Arabidopsis thaliana: one gene and its partner. The protein of the gene in region 2 interacts with the protein of the main gene of each other region in a pairwise test. Each region holds a gene or a part of one and is shown on either strand. Other genes may lie near its edges.

Region 1 (9,785 bases), on a different chromosome or scaffold from region 2:
TTGAGGTGGTACGAGAGCCATTGATACCGCGACCAAGCCCGGTCATGACCTAGAGGCGAAGCCCATCAAGTGCTTTAGGCAGCAAATATATTTAAGTTTTAAGAAGCTAAGCACGAAATTTTGAAAAAATCATATAATACAATGGTTATTTTTTCACCTTTTAACATTTTTTGTATTTGTTTTTAAAAAACCAATAATTTTTTGGACCGGTCCTCATCGCGACCAATCAAATAAGCTTATTCTGATAATGTGTTCTAGAAACGACTAAATCTTGCAATGAACCTATGAGCGAGATACATTATTATGCAGAAGATTGAATATAGTCAATCTATTCACCCCATAAGCTGATGAGTGATGACCCGGTAACAAACCCAGTAAAAAGTAAATACTAAGATTAAGCATTTTATACCTCAAAAATGTGAGACTAGTCTAATCTAATCTCAAGGAAAGTAATATTCTAAGGCTACAAATATTCTACTAAACAATAAAAACGTATGCACCTAAGTTTGCTTCTTTTTTCCCTTATTTACAAATCAAACTCATCTAACTTGAACGACATAAGTTCATCAGTTAACATTATACGTATGTGCATTAGAATGATAAATTAAAACAAACAAAAGTTCTATATACTAGACGATGTTATGGCCACCACACGAGACATATAAGGCTTTAGTACTTGGTGTTTTGTAGTTTGTATACACACGCATGGATTTGTTATCCATAAGACATTAAATTGGAAATGATAGATACGTACGTGAGATGTGAATCTTATGCATGTTATGCAATTTGGACCTTTGCATCTAAATGTAAGGAGAACGACCCTACGACTAGACCAGTGTTCGTGGTTCCTCATACATTGCCCATCACCTTTCTCTCTCAATACCCCCATTAATTCATCTTTATTGTTTTATTCGATTTATATCTTTATCGATTGTGCTTTTTGATTTTGTTTCAATCCATTAATTCAAAGCATTTCATCTCACAGATTAAAGAGTCATATTATTAGATACTACAACAAAGTAGACATACAACCCCGGAAGTATGGAAATTTGTTGATAGTTATGATTCCTATTAGTATCCACTCTAACCTCAAATATGAATTTTTGAAAATATGAAAGTTCAGAAAGTTCAGATTCGTCGATGGCACTAGCTCTAAACACTAAGAGCATCTCCAATGCTCAACTCTATTTTTTCCTCTATTTTTGAGTTGATTTTATTTTAGAGAAAATATAGTTGATTTTGCTGTATTGTATGCCTCTAAAATAGAGGAAAAATGTAGATATATTTTTCTCTATTTTAGAGAATTACAATGGAGCAAAATCAACTATATTTCCTCTAAAATAGAGTTAGTCATTGAGAATGGTCTAAGTAATTCTGAGTGAAACGTGACGTCTATGGGTAAAATATTCTTGATTTGATTAGTAAATTTATCGAAACAGTAACTAAGAGTTAACGATTTATAGTCACAATTAAATCAGTTAAAGGAATAGCCAGCTGCTACTTTCAAAGTGAATGCATGATCGAAGTTGTTCAGTTTTGAAGGAATGAAAAAAACTTTTTGGTGATATTATCGATACTATGTGGGAATATGATAAACACAATATTTTGACTGTTGATTAGTTCCACGAAAATATGATAAACTCAACATTTTGACTGTTGATTAGTTCCACGAAGATATACATGTTGATATAATCGAAAATGTGGTCCATGTTGTTATAATACTTTGATGCTCGAATTTTGATGTTCGAAACACACGTGGGAAGTTTTTCTTTTTCCATAAAAGTTTGAACTCTATAGGTTTAAAAATGTATAGTTCAAAACGAATCCTTTAGAATTTCCCAAAATAAAAGAACTCACAACTTCTATGGGCATATAGATAAGAATAAGAATATCGGGGCATGTGTGTAAACGAGTAACACAACAAGTTTTACTTGCAAAAGATATAATATGGCAACTTTTGTCGTCAAGTGAAATGCGTCGTCGCTTTCGGGCGAAGCCTGCATGTTGGTCCATCTTAGATTTTGCATTCCATTGAATTTTCTTCACATCCACTCTCCCATTAGTTTTGATGTTAGTTTCGGAATATTTGCTTTGTTTTCTATATAGTATATTGATGCCTCGTTAAATTACTACTTGTTGGATGAGTAATCATACCGTATTTGAATGACCAATCCTAATACGAAAATCAGATGATCAATTCATAACATTAAAAATGTTTGAAAAATGAGATTCACACTACTTTGACATTATAAAGACTACGTTTGATAGTCTCGGGACCATTTTTTCTATAAAGGGTGGTCTTTAGATTCATGTGCGGAAGTTCACAGAATTTGAAGTTAACATAAACTTTTTGAGATTTTTTTCTGCTAGAGATCGTGTATTCTTAAAAAAACGGGACCGTAAACATGCATCGTATGATCATAGGATTAATTAATTAGAGATTAGGATTTTGCTTCTGTCGTAAAACAGTGTTTGTTATCAAGGAATATGCTTAAATTAACTGTAATAAAATAAAATTACTGTCTTTTGAAACTTTTGCTTCTGACTGTTCAGACCTGATTTCTATCATTGACAATCAAGACGATTGACCGACATTCGCAGCGGAATTGGCATCCTATCGCTCCTTAGTTTGTTTTTTCCTTTCTTTCCGTATTAGATTTTTTTCTCGTAGTTTTAACACTCGAACTGATTGTTTAGCTAAAAAAGCTCGGGGTAGAAATAATATTTTCTCCTATGTAAGCATAATGGTTCATGAATGGCTCTCTCTAGCGGAGAATCTCTTCCCGATGAATTAATATTAATGGTATTTGTGGAAAAAATAAATCAGTACGAGGGTGTATATATATAGTATAGGACTATTTCAATCCAACTCATAAGCTAGTTTCAGTATAAACCACTTAACTAGAAACTTCAATTAATAAAAAAAGGTGCATATTACATATCTGCTTAGCCAAAATCTACACATAAATTAACAAAAACAGAAAATGAAAAAATAAAGGTAAGGAAGAGAGATTTTTTCTTCTTGGCGTCTAATGAAGACAAGATCCTTAATCCATTCAAGTCTTGTTCACTAAATCCTAAGTACTTTTGTTGTGTTCCACAAATATTGGAACCAAAAACCAAAGGCATATCTTCTTCTTCACCTTCCACTCTTTCCCACGAAAAATAAAGGCTTTGCTTATTTCCTCGTTACCGAGAAATAAATAGCCCAATCTCCGAGGCTCTCTCAAAAGCCAGTTGATACTGAAGGGACCAATTCAAAGGCCAAGAAGAATATAGTAGACCAGAGTTATAGGTAAGGCTATTAACATTCCAAATATGACCCTGCATCCATATTTTTCACCATCATTCACACATTTGTTAATATATTGTAAGTTTGTAACAAAAATAAAAATGTGGCTGTAACATAAAATAAGTTTGGAACTTACCCAGTGCTTAGAATCGTGGGATGCACATTGTACTCTTTTGCAAACACAAACGGAACTATTCCTTGAGGCAACGCAGCCTAATAATTCATGCATTCATCAACATCATCATCGTGATCATGTAATATTTATAATAGACCTAGCTATATCATGTAACGTTATAAATTTGTATACCTGAACGATGGCTATACGGAGAAGGTCGCCGTGTAAGCCAATGGCAATCCCAGCAACAGCCATGATGGCCGGACCGGTTATAAATCTGACCGCCATGGCAAACGTGGCGACAGAGTTCCCACAAGCAATGATTTTGGGTTGAAGTGCCATGAATAAACCTTAAAATTACACCAAAAATAAGCAATTCATTAACTAAAAGGATTTGAGAAAATTGACAGCAAAGAGTTAGGTCATCTACTTGGTGAGACCCAAATAAGTAGACAGAGCCAGTGGGGACTCGGCGTGGGGACCGGACACACCAACATGTCTGGGTCAGAGGGTCAGGATTCTCTCTTTGGGTAAGTGCTTTGTACAGTTTATATGACTTTTACCAATTACAAGCTGGACAACTACGACTAATTAAACACACAGACCCACTTTGCATTAAATGAATCTTTTTTAACAGATAAGATGAGAACAAATTTGAACCCAACTTTAAAGATTAGATCATCATCAAAACAAGTCTAGATTTGCATGAAGCAAGGTTAGTGTTTACCTAAGCTGAACATAGCCATTCCAAGACCAGCATCTGAGAGTATGGAGATGGATTGTTGTAATATTTTGGGCATAGCCACATGCCACCTGCTTCCAAAAACAACCCATACTCATTATTAGTTCCCACTACAATTATTCCATGCATAGATGATTATATTATTTCCTTTTCTTATTATAACATTTATCCATAAAATCTGTAAGTAAGAAAATGATTGGACTCACTGACCGGTAAGCAACAAGAGCCCATATGAGACCGATTAGACTGGAGTACGTGTTTGGGTTTCTGATCAGCTTTCTCCACACCATTATCAATATCAGTCGTGTCATCACACTTGTCGGCGGCATATGTGTTCCGTTGTTGCCGCCGCCATCTCCACCAGCCGCCTCTAGCTCCGCCGTGGAATTAGACCCCATTTTATTCAGCCCTGCTGTAGCTTTCTCTATCTCTCTTTCTCCCTCTCCACTATCAAGACCGCCGATATCATCACCACCACCTGAGAAAACCAAAAATCATGAATACATACAAAAATAATAGTATTCGAATAATAATAAAATTAAACCAACAAACCTCTAGCATATTATTTATGTAAACAATTTTCCGCAATTTTAGCTAAATAATATTTGATGACAAAAAAAAAAAAAAAAAAGAACCTCTAGCATTACTCTTTCGAGGTTGATCAGAGACAACCATCCGAATCTCCTTAGCACCTTGTTCAGATTGTTCCGTTGCCACGTTGTCGCCTGCACCTCCGCCAAACACGTCGGAGACCGGAGAAGCGCTTGAGCTCCAAACAAACATGTGAAGCTCCTTAGCGTCATGGCTCGCTTTGCTATCTTTCTCTTGCAGTTGCTGTTGGTTTTCTTTAGGAATTTTATTCGGTTTAGTTGAAACACCCGTACCGGTTGAAAACTCCGGGTTCGGAGCCGGGTACGAACCGGCCGCCGGAACAGAACTGTTAGTGTTATTGTAAAATCCATATTTAACGGCGTTGTTCTCTTCGAAGTTCGAAGGCCGTGGAGTCGGACCACGAGAAGATTGAACGGAGTACAAATCCGCCGGACCAAAATTCGAAAGCCTCCCGCCGGGAAACCCCATAACAGAGTAAAAATCAGAATGGTTAAAGTTAGAACCTCTCGGAGTCGAACTAAGACTATAGATCTCAGCTCCGGTAAGATTCGAAGGCCGTGGAGTCATCATCAGTGACCGTCTCGATGCGTTTGATTTCCTCACGGTAACATGAAGCTTCCCGTCGTTTCCTATCTCAGCATCCGTCTCAAGAAAATCATGACCGTCGAGAGAAACGACGTCGGATTCAACTTTAAACGAAACAATAGACGCACCAGTCTCCGGGAACTGCTCCATAATAAGAAGCTTAGCGCCACGGTACTCGAAGAGGAAGAGAAGGAGAGTGTACCAAATGATACACTGAAGAACAACGACTTGGACCATTAGAGAACCTGCGTAGGTTCCGTACATGGCGATCAACAGAGGGATCCCCATGACAAGAGTGTTTGGGAGAGTGCTGAGAGAGAAGATTGTGATCATCCACTCCAAGCTACCGTTCTTGGTTAGGTTAGCCCATAGAGCAAGTAAGACGAGCATGATGATTTTTTGAAGCGTGTCGGCGGCGACGAAGCGGAAATTCATGGCGTAAGGATCGTTGGTGGAGATGAAGTGGAAGGAGAGGAGAGGGACGGCGAAGATAGCGACGAAGCGGTTGATGCCGGAGCACTGGTCTGGTGAGAATATCTTCCACCACTGTACGGATCCGTAGGCGAGAATCATAGCTACGTAAAGTGGTACCACGGCGGTGAGGACGGTGTACAAGTCGTGCCACGTAATCATTTTTTCCGGTGGGTTTTGGAGTTTAGTGAGAAGACAGTGGCATTTGAGGGGGAATTAGAAGGAAGAAGAGGGGTAGAATGGGAAGAATAATAAAGAAACCGTTAAGAGAGAAAAGTACAGTAATGATTTACAAGGATTCGGTGAAGAGGACTAATTTATAGAGGTTTTTGAGGCAGTGACAGTGTCATCATCATCATCAGCACACGATTACGTTTTTTAAGTTTGATTAATAATTTGATTTAAAATGGCTTTGTGTGTAGTTGAGTGGGGACACGTGGCAAATCGCATGTGGGGGGAGTTTTCTGGAGGGACGTGGACAGTTTTATGGAATAGTCGTGCTTTTTTGCTACTATCTTATTACGAAAAAGTGGTCTTGTTTTTGCACTTTTTGAAAGTTGCAAAAGGAACTTTGGCGAATACTACGAATTACTGTATCTGTGATCGTTTTTCTTGTAAATGTAATTTGAGTTTTGATTCCAAATAGAATCAAACTATTGTCTACGTACTTGGTACAAGAAGACAGCCACATAAAAATTACAAGAAGAACAAATGTCATTAGTGTTAGGTCCAAGCCACTGTTGGACCGTTGAATTAATTACACACATTTATTCCCTTTTCAAAAATTCTCACTTGCTATGACTAGAATAATATTTTGTTTTTTGTTTTTGTTTTGTTAAACTTGTAAATATCATTAAAAATAAAATTTGAGGTATTACAAAAAAAATATTACTTATAGTTACTTATATTACAAAAAGTATTTACAAGCTCACATCTCGTCATTTTCTCACTCTTAAAATTTTACTCTCCCTTATCTCTAAAACTTCAGCCGCCGCCTGCGTTTAGGGTTACCGGTTCCGGTGGCTTTCTCAGCACCGGAACCGAAGTCTTTTGTTTTGCTCTTATTCTATCTTTTTTCTTTAGACACATCTGAGAGATTTTTTTCCAACGGTTGTGAATCTGAATTTTCAGATCTAGATATTTAAAGTCTAAAACTTTTTCTTTTTAGGTTTTTGCTGTTTGTCTTTTGTCTTTTTCAAGAACAGAGTCAGATCTGGCCGATCCATCCAAGGCAGAAGCGTTTCTATCCAAATTTTCGCCTCAGACTTCTGAAATTCCACCTGAAGATCCCGATCTCGTTCTCTCCTTCATGAGGCTCTCACTCCTTTGGGTCTCTGGATGATGGTTTTATCTCATCGCCCATTCGTGTTTAGGTTGAGTTAAGTGAGGCTTCTAGTCTCAGATCTATCAGTTTATCATTGTTGTTTTAGACTTTGTATATTTCGTTTGAACTCTTGGATTTTGGGTCTGGGAAGTACTTGATCAGATGTGATGTAATTTGTTAGATCGGTTTTTTTCCCCTTTGTTTCATTTAAATATGTTTTTAGTTCCTGGAAGGTCCCATGTACTCTCCGGCTTTTAGAAGAGTGTTTCTCTTGTCAGCTCTTGTACTCAGATCTTCTATCAATGAAATCTATATTTCCAGTGAAAAAAAAAATAGTTATAGATAGATGTTGGTCTGAGACTCTCCGACTCATTAGACCATCCTCATCGAATAATTTTTCATAGATGTATTTCATATAAAATAATATTAAAGGTATAGATGTCTTAAATGTTTTAGGAAGATATAATTTTCATTTTAATGACCCTCATATTTTTTATTTGTTTTACTCTTTTATATTTAAAAATAGCCATCTAAAAACACTCATAAAAATAACCAATGTGGATACTCTTAAATCAGTTTGGACATAACCAACAAAAAGGAAAGAATAAAGAAGTAGGTGGTCGCAAAATCACTAGGATTTGATAGATTCAAGCAGAAACTAAAAGGAGCGAGATTTCTGGGAAATATCAGAGAAGCAGACGAGGTCAAGTCCTATAAATCTGATGGAGAGTAATGTATAGAGGCATCAATTGTACACTAGAAAATCCCTAATATTACTTACTCATCTAGCTCTAAGAAGTAAGAACATCTCAGCGAAATCTTTGTAACTTTATTTCGGTATATAAAAGTCCAGTTTGATTCTTAAAATTGTGATCATGTTTGATTCGATGGAGGACTAGTTATGCGATCTTGCATCCACAATAGAGTAATATTGACCAGAAAGAAATTACAAACAAAGTTACAATAGTATGACATGGAAAAATACCAAATCCAAAGGATCATCAACGTTGGAATGTAAAAATTTTGATTTGTGTAACTCATAGTCATAGGATGTGTTCGAGGAGTGAATAATCTCCCATGCTTAATACTAGTATATATCTGGATGCGAAATTCGCAATTTTTTTATTTTTGTAGCGAAATGGTAAAAAGAGATTCAAAACATTCATCCAGCAATCACTTTAATTAATCCGAATGATTGCAAATGAAAATAGATTCTTTATTGAACACATATGTTTACAAAACAAGAATAGTATTTTTTTCTCATAAGCCTTCCGGAAAAAGTCTACTTCATCATAGAAAAATGAGAAAAATGATCAATGATCATCTATGAGATCAACGATCATAGATGGGATTTGTAACACAACAACACAATAACGGGTTTCATCAATTTTCAAGTCTACTTCATCATCCATCAAGACTTTGGTCTTTAAATATACAATGGAAGCAAATTAAAATGATCGTTCAAAAATCTTACAAACCAGGAAACATAGAAAAGTGAGAATGTGGAGATCAGTTCAATGATATTGTAACTATTGAAAAACGGTTTTTGATCGGCTTCACTATCTCCGAAGGCAACGTTCAACTTGTCTTCGAGCTCCCTGCAAGCCGTCTTGACCCGTGATCATTGATCTCAACATTTTCGATAAAATCAAACTTACATCGTAGCCGACTGAAGAAGTATGGCATCCGAATGAATTGGTAATAACAAATTATAGTTTTGTTTCTCTCCACAATATATATGTGTTATTGTAACAATGATTATTGCTTGGTAACCAAAATATATAGTCGTAAGAATATCATTCACATCTTTATCTACCAGACCTGTGATGTAGATAAACTTGCTCAAATTCAAAGGATCATGGATTAAGCACTTGAGTACTGTATATCATTTCCCGTCCAAGATCATATTATTATTATTCCGCCCGCATAAGACACTTCAATTATATGTCCAACCCAATCATGTCTGATCCATATATTTATTTTCTAGACAAATAGAGTTTGACCTAACACTACTTGATAGTTGATACGACCAATCAATAATCATGGGATATTGTTTAGGAGATTTGAGTATTTTCGGACGAGGGGGTATATTTGTTATAATTAACGACATATTTTCTAACACACACCTAATCACATGGCGAAGACTGAAGAAACGAGAGCACGAGTCACACTCACCATTAATCGTTTTTTTTGTTTGTTACATTAACTACAAATAAACTAGCATTCAAACACATATTATAGTATCAAGATTACGATGATATAAATAGAATTATAGACCCTTAGATAGAAACGTATCGAGTTTGGCGTACCTACAAGATCAATGCTCTTTTCATATATATATATGCTTATAATAATAAACATATGCATGTTCGTTCGTTACATGTAATATCTCGCAATGGATCAAATCTTATGGTAAGACACGATGATCTGGATTCTGGTCCCATGCAAAAGAAAAGATCACAGCTGTGATTTTCTCAAAACTCAAAAGAGCTAAAGCGTCCTTATTATTCCCTAAGCAGACGCTTGATGGTTTAACAAACCAATGAGCTAGAGGGGTATGTCTGATGTCTTGATCAAGTCTGGTGTCTCGAAATAAACACAAACTAGTTTTAGGCCTCGGCCAAATTTATTTGGTACCGGACCG
Region 2 (7,024 bases):
GGTTATGGAAGCTTTAGTGGTAAAACTATTTGCCTATAAAGCTATTTGTCCCTTCAACCAAAACTCTATTATAGGGATATGAGAGTAATTTAAAGTTGGTTTCCGACAGGTACTATACGCCCATGGTTAGTTTCTATAATATTATGAATTTCATAGTCATCTAGTGCATATACCCTTAATTATATTTATTAATTAATTTAAGAATTAAAAATCATGCATTAATTCTTTCTTGCATACAAATTGACATGTTTTAACTTATTAATTGAATAAATTTATTTTAATTAAGTACAAAGTATATCAAACTTGTATATAAATTAAATTATTTAAATTTAGTTGTATAAGTCGTATAAACTTATGCATAAATAATATGATATAAGAATTTATTTCATGGTTTTATATAGTATAATATATATAGGATTAGTGACAATAAATATTAGTTGAATTTATGGTTTATTTATATAAGATACTAAATTGACACTAGTTTAATTTCGTTTATTTTAAAAATACTTTAAAGACAACAATTGTTTTAAAGGTAAGTAATTGTAAATAAGGTTTATTAATGTAATTAAAAACATTAAAAAATAGAATGAATTATTTACTTGAGAGTTAGAGAAATACATTAAAATGATAATTCGATAAAATACAAAATATGTTTTACCAAATTAATTCAATCGATGTTATTTGTTATAACTAACAAATTATATGAATATACTCATACCTTGTGCAGGTGTTGGCTTAGTATTTTAAATTCACAACCATCGATGTTTATAACGAGCTAATGTATAACACATATAGCTTTAAATCTAGAGTATAATAAAAAATAAATTTTAATGGAAATATAGTAATAATAAATAAAAGATACTAAATTTCAAATATTCAATGGTTCCGTAGAATAATGTTTTTTAATTACTTGATAAATTATTTATACAAAATTAATTAGGTGATAGTTCCTCAGTATTCCTCAAAAATTAAAAGCCACCCAATATATTTTTGTAAAACATTATGCATTACTAAATAAAATTTTATTTTTTAATTAAAAAGATATAATGAGAATCAAAATTTCTTCTTCTCATCTTTGTTTGTTTCTTTGGTCATTTTTAAGAGCTAAATCATCTTATCATTTGTATTTAAATTGTTTTTTCTGCATATATGATTCGAATTTATCAAAAACAAAATGTTGAAGATGCATCCAAAATAATTGAGAAGGGATTAAGTGATATTATTACCCAGGTCTAGTCGACTTAAATGATTTTCAAAAAATATGATGATCTGTTGTTCTTACAAACTCAGATTCCTAGCTAGTGTAGAGCTTCCAGAGTTCTCATTGTGTCTTGTTTGTGTCTTTACGAGAGGTTTGGAACAAATTTCTTGATCTTATCGTTAGGTTTGATCCCACACGCGAAGCAATATAAAGATTGTGATTTTTAGTATTGTGCAAGAATTCACAAAACACATAAAAATATCTTGTGATGATCAACAAGACTAGTAAACAAGTCTATCAACCTTACATGTAGAAGTGCACTGGTCGAATAACGAGGATGAGATTTGTAGGTCAAAACTGTAATTGATGGTAAATAAACATTGGCGATCATGATGTTATAAGGGGTATCAAAACCAAACTTAATTGAGTGTTTAGCAATGTGGCATCACAGTACCATTGGGGGAATCAGTATTATATTTTACTTTGTTACTGAGAAAATATTCAAATATTGGTTAGTAGATATAGACTAAAATAGTTACCGAGGAATAGATATTATTAAGATGTGACCACACTTTCTCATGAACTTTTGTAGCAAGTTCATAGAAAAACATGTGTAAAAGAAACATGGTGTTGCTATTTAGCCGCATATATATGAGGGCTTAATCTCGTCGCTATTTAACAATAGAAATAGTCGACGTCATTTGTTTCTACCAAGGGACTTAAACTTGTCCTTTGTCAATGCGTAGTTTTGTGGCTTCGGATTTTAAAAAATTGTTTCTGAATTTATATAGATCTAACAACCTTTGTAAGATTAATGCTTTAGATACTAATATACTATCAATGAAAAAGAGTATTTACTTTGTTTTCACATTTATAGGAAAAAATTAGAAATCTTCATTTACAAAACGACATTCGTAGTTTGAGGTTATTACTTTTTGGCGAAAAGAAAAGAAAAGTTTGAGGTTATTACTAACGATGCCAACTATCAAAACAAAATTTATGTTAGTAACCAATTATGTGGGTGTTTGGTTGAGTAGTAACTTTCCTTTTTACTGTTGTTCGGCAGTAGCTATAAACTTTTTGTTGTATGATTACATGTGTTGGTTGTAGATGTAGAGTTTGATTGGTAAAGTTAATTAAATATTGAGGATTCAAAATTTAAGTTTATCAATTTAAAATTATAACATAATATTAAATGAGATAACAAATAAATAATAAATAGTAAATTTCATATGTATAACACATTGTTTGGTCAATTTTATAATTTTTTTTACCTCAAAAATATGATAAGATTTTTTTGTTGTCTTATGTTTAAAGTACAACGTACTCATATAATCTTATGCTTGTGAAAGTTAAAAATAATTTCTGTCCCGCTTGATGATTATGTCATTTTATTCTACAAATTTTTTTTGGCAACCGATATTAATTAGAATTCAAAGAGTTAATCCGAGAGATATTGTTTATATATATGGTATGATGCAATTCGGTATAATTCTTTCATACCAAATTATCCGTTTTTACATTTACACTACAAAAAATTAAAAATAAAGAAAAGTTTGTGAATTCCTTCTTGTCATTCCAAAATTTATCTTTTTTTTCCTAATTTTTCGGTATAATTCTAATTACTCTATGATCAAAACCATAAATAAAGATAAAACTGAACAAACACAAAAACTTGGATCCAAAAATACGGTTGGGACATTACCACATTTATGGCGGCATTCAATTCAATTGATTGCCACGCATTTTTCCAAAAGAATATACCCTATATAAAAAAATCCATTAAATATTATCTTTAACACATAAATGAAATCTTTCTCCTACATCCTACATAATCTGTGAATCTTCTTTCCATGTTTACACTGTTATAAAGCAACTTCAACTAATCCCGTTTTAAATATAAGCTATCTACTCTCTCTTAGCCATAATGGGAAACGAAGCAGCACTAAGATCATCAATGGTAGGTCTTGCAGTGGTGATGGTAGTTGTATGGTTATGGACACAGTCTTTAAAGAAGACGGTTGTTACTTACGCCGTCGGTATTTCTCTTATTGGCGGCATACTTTTGCCGGATTGGGACTTCTTTGATCGGAGTTTCTCTCGGTGGGGCTATCCTGTCACCGCCGAGGAAAGATCAGCCGCTCTCGCCCGCAAATCTCATCCTTCAAGGTTACTTGTTTATCTTATCTCAATATCAAACTAGTTGTTTTATCATATCATTATATATTAATCTTTGAATTATTAGATCTAAATTTTGGTTTAGCTTTATTGCCTTAAAACCTATTGGATAAACATAAATCATACATACAATTTTTTTTTTGTCAACCGATATTAATTTGGATTCAAAAGAGCGAATCTCAAACCATACATACAATGTTAGGTTCCATTTGCAATGTATGTATTATTGTATATCTACGAATTAGGTGTACAAGTTATGATTGAATTTGTTTATTTTCGTGAATATTTTCTATTGATTTTAATTGTTAGATCCAAATTTTGGTTTGGTTTACTGGCCTAATTAATGGATAATGGATACATCTTTGGACCAAGTAATGCAGGTTTAGAGTGTACCCTATGAGGATGGTTTTATACGGCACGGTCTATGGATATGCAGTGTATAGGTGGTGGATGTTCGTATCAAATTATTGAAGCCATATTGTATTTACTTGGTCCATCTTTTTTATGGTTTAGTGTTGTTGATTAACAAAATATTTAGCTTCGTTTTATTTTAACTTTGTAGAACATGTAAGACTACCAGATTACATATTGGTGTGTCCACATAAGATGGACAAAAATTGTCAAATGGATTGTGGTATACAAAATTGACCCAAAACAAAACTCCTAGAGACTCTAAATGAGCATTCTACCACCAAATTCTGTCCCACATCAGAAAGATCTTTAGGTTAAAAGTGAATGTCTCTAGGTTGTTTCGCAAGAAGGAGCAGGAGGGGGAGGAGGAACACCGAAGACCCAATCTAGTACGTTCAAGTATTTTGATCGAAATACGTCTCTTTCTTGTGCGTAACAATGCATTATAATGGCTGTCGAAACGCTGAACACAACCACATCCGCTCTTCTTAAACTCTTGGGCGGTCGAATGTATCCTGCCTCTGTCATGCAAGTAAAGAAGCTCTCTATCGCCCTCGCTAAGCAGTATAGTGATATCTCTATCCTTCTGCTTTTCTTCTCAATAGCTAAAGCCAGACCTGTTGGGAACTGCAGGAGAAGCCTAACGTTAGGTATTATATTAACAATGATATGTGATGAGAATGGCTTTCGTTTGTACTGTTGCTATGGCCACAAGCGGTATGTTGCATGTCTCAAAAGTGCGGAATAGTAGACAAGTCCAAGCCCTATTTTACATCATTATAGAGATGGTCTAAGTTCCAACTTCAAGTGAGAACAAAACAAAAATCGATAAGAGCCTTCCAAGAATTGATTCTAACCAGGCAGAAGAGCAGTAAGTAGCGAGAAACAAACTTGATCTCGCTGTGCCCAGAAGACCCTTGCCAAGTATAGAGTATTGCCTGTGATGAAACATATTATGAGGTGATGAATAAAATCAGAGGATATATACCATTCAATGAGCAGTTTAGACATAAACCTATTACTTTTTTAGCAGGTCTTGACGATGGACTATTAGCGCTGGAATCAAATACACAGGGACATAGACAGGTAACGCCCTCTTGTAAGCTTGAAGGAAAAATGTAACACCATGCTTAACACATGACTCATTTCCATGTATTATCTGCAAGTAACAACATAAGTATTGCGTAAAACCATGCATGCAGACTCATTGACGATACATCAACTATCGACAAATGCTTTGTTCGTCTTAACAACCCAAAAAAGATAGTATCATAGAAAACTTACCGTACAGGGGACTTTCATGGTAGGATCCAGTTTGATATCAACTCCAACAGACTTGTAATATTTCTCAATCGCTCTTAAATTAGTGAACGGTTGCGCGGTTGCGATATCTTTTACGCCTTGTAAGATTGAAAGATCCTTCCCACCTTGTTTGTTAAGGAAAGACTTGTACGATGAAGGAAGGCTTTCTTGTTTCAAAATGTAAGCAGACCTGAAAAAAAAACACAAAATCGCTAATCTAAGAATCTAATAACAACCAAGAACCTAGTAACAACTAGCTGAACCACAAAATTTAATATCTTTGTAGAGAGAAAGAGAAAGCATACAAAATCTGTGAGGAAGAGAGACACATGAGGAATAAATCTCCATGTTTCCAAGTAAGTGGCTTGCAAATGGTACCAAAGCGTTTACTTTTAATACCGCAACGCGATGCGAGAACCGCAGCACGCATCAATATATAAACAGCCAAACTCGTATGTTGCGTATTTGGCCCTGTGAGAAGCATAGATGGTCCAGCCACCAATCCAGCAAACAGGGCCCTCCATTTTGCAGTTCTGGATTCAGATTAAATTACTTCACAGTGATCAAATCTGAAGAAATTGATACTTCACTATTTTTGGGTTTAAATCACAAAATAAAAGTTACAAGATTAGTGGGGACAAACATGCCTCTTGTCTCCTGCTAAAGCAGCAATAGCTTCATCTACAGAAACAAAAGTCCCAGCAAAAGTTCCTAAGAACAATCCATATCTTAACGTCTCCTTAATCCCCATAGCGATAGCTTCACTATTCGAAAACTCTCCGGTTTTCCTAAACCGACTACGATTAGATTTCAGATCAGATGAGCTAAACCGGAAAATTTGAAAAATCGATTTCGGTTACCTAGATTGAGGAGAAGATCTACGACGACGAGCGAAACGAGCGACGATTGAGAAAATAGCTAAACCACCTTTTAAACCAGTACCTATAGTGAATCCTTTGACGGAAGCGACGATGATTCTTCGAAGCTTATCCGAATCATTCACCGATTTTGATTTCGATTTCGAATCGGAGTTTTTGCATTGTTTGCATGTAAACTCATCCGATTTACCGAAATCGTTGCCATCGTTGTCGCTGGAGATGCATGATGAGCAACGAGAACCGTTCGTCGATTCGTCGGACGGCGACATGACGACGGCGGCGGCGAGAATCTTCGGATTGCGCCAAAGTGATGCTTTGGTGGGAAATTGGGAATTGGCTTTTGAATAAAATAGAAAGAAGAAAGAGAGAACCAGAAAAAGGAAGTTAGGGAGAGTGACGAAGACAGCGAAATTTTTAGATTTACAGGGCCACTAAGAATTATCCAGTTGTCAAGGAGTGACTGACACGTGTCGGTTATTTTTTTTTTTTCCTTTGTGAATCTTTTGATTCTTCTGCTTTGGGAACCGTAATGATTTGTAGTATGGGTTTGTGGAAGGCCATGGGCTTATTTTATGGGCTTGATAACAGACAGGATAATATTAAAAATTTGGAACGTTACAAAAAGAATACGAATATTAAAAGAGATAAAAAAATGGGTGAATTAGCTCAATAACCATATTCCATAAAAATATTAAGTAACTAACACCATAAACGAAGGAATTGAGAGAGTGACGCTACGGGTATGTGAAGTTACAACCCACTCCCTAAGCCACGTTTCTGTGATTTCTTGTACGCGCGTGAGGGTAAGAGCGAGCTTCTTTCTACCAGCTGACGTGTCTCCTTTCGAAGCCAGTAAAAAAATTATCCTAGCACCGCTTGAGAATTGTCCCATCAGTAACATAACCTGCAGATTTTTACATTAATTTGAATAAAATATTCCCCCCAAAAATATCGGAGCAGAAGATGCTCTGTTTTCTATTTATTGCCAGTAAATGCTATACCTTTTACGCAGAGATCTAACCTGCAAAACAGAACAGTATGGATGGTGGTGAAA

The links.
Region 1: the proteins of AT1G34640 (region 2) and PIN4 interact in a protein complementation assay, tested with the Arabidopsis thaliana proteins (one large-scale study listed by BioGRID).

Annotation. Positions count from the first base shown.
Region 1 is NC_003071.7:177,221-187,005, forward strand, and holds PIN4 (Auxin efflux carrier family protein), read right to left. Parts: upstream 6,545-9,785; 5' UTR 5,980-6,544; coding exon 4,785-5,979; intron 4,628-4,784; coding exon 4,360-4,627; intron 4,221-4,359; coding exon 4,135-4,220; coding exon of another isoform or gene 4,124-4,134; exon of another isoform or gene 3,758-4,123; coding exon 3,600-3,757; intron 3,506-3,599; coding exon 3,429-3,505; intron 3,325-3,428; coding exon 3,258-3,324; 3' UTR 2,813-3,257; downstream 1-2,812. UniProt on the Arabidopsis thaliana protein: Acts as a component of the auxin efflux carrier. Plays a role in generating a sink for auxin into columella cells. Maintains the endogenous auxin gradient, which is essential for correct root patterning.
Region 2 is NC_003070.9:12,684,532-12,691,555, reverse strand, and holds AT1G34640 (peptidase), read left to right. Parts: upstream 1-3,012; 5' UTR 3,013-3,128; coding exon 3,129-3,370; intron 3,371-3,759; coding exon 3,760-3,850; 3' UTR 3,851-4,004; downstream 4,005-7,024. Other genes in the region: AT1G34630 (uncharacterized protein), read right to left, coding at 4,121-4,417, 4,488-4,554, 4,648-4,728, 4,813-4,949, 5,075-5,282, 5,398-5,625, 5,740-5,880, 5,953-6,239.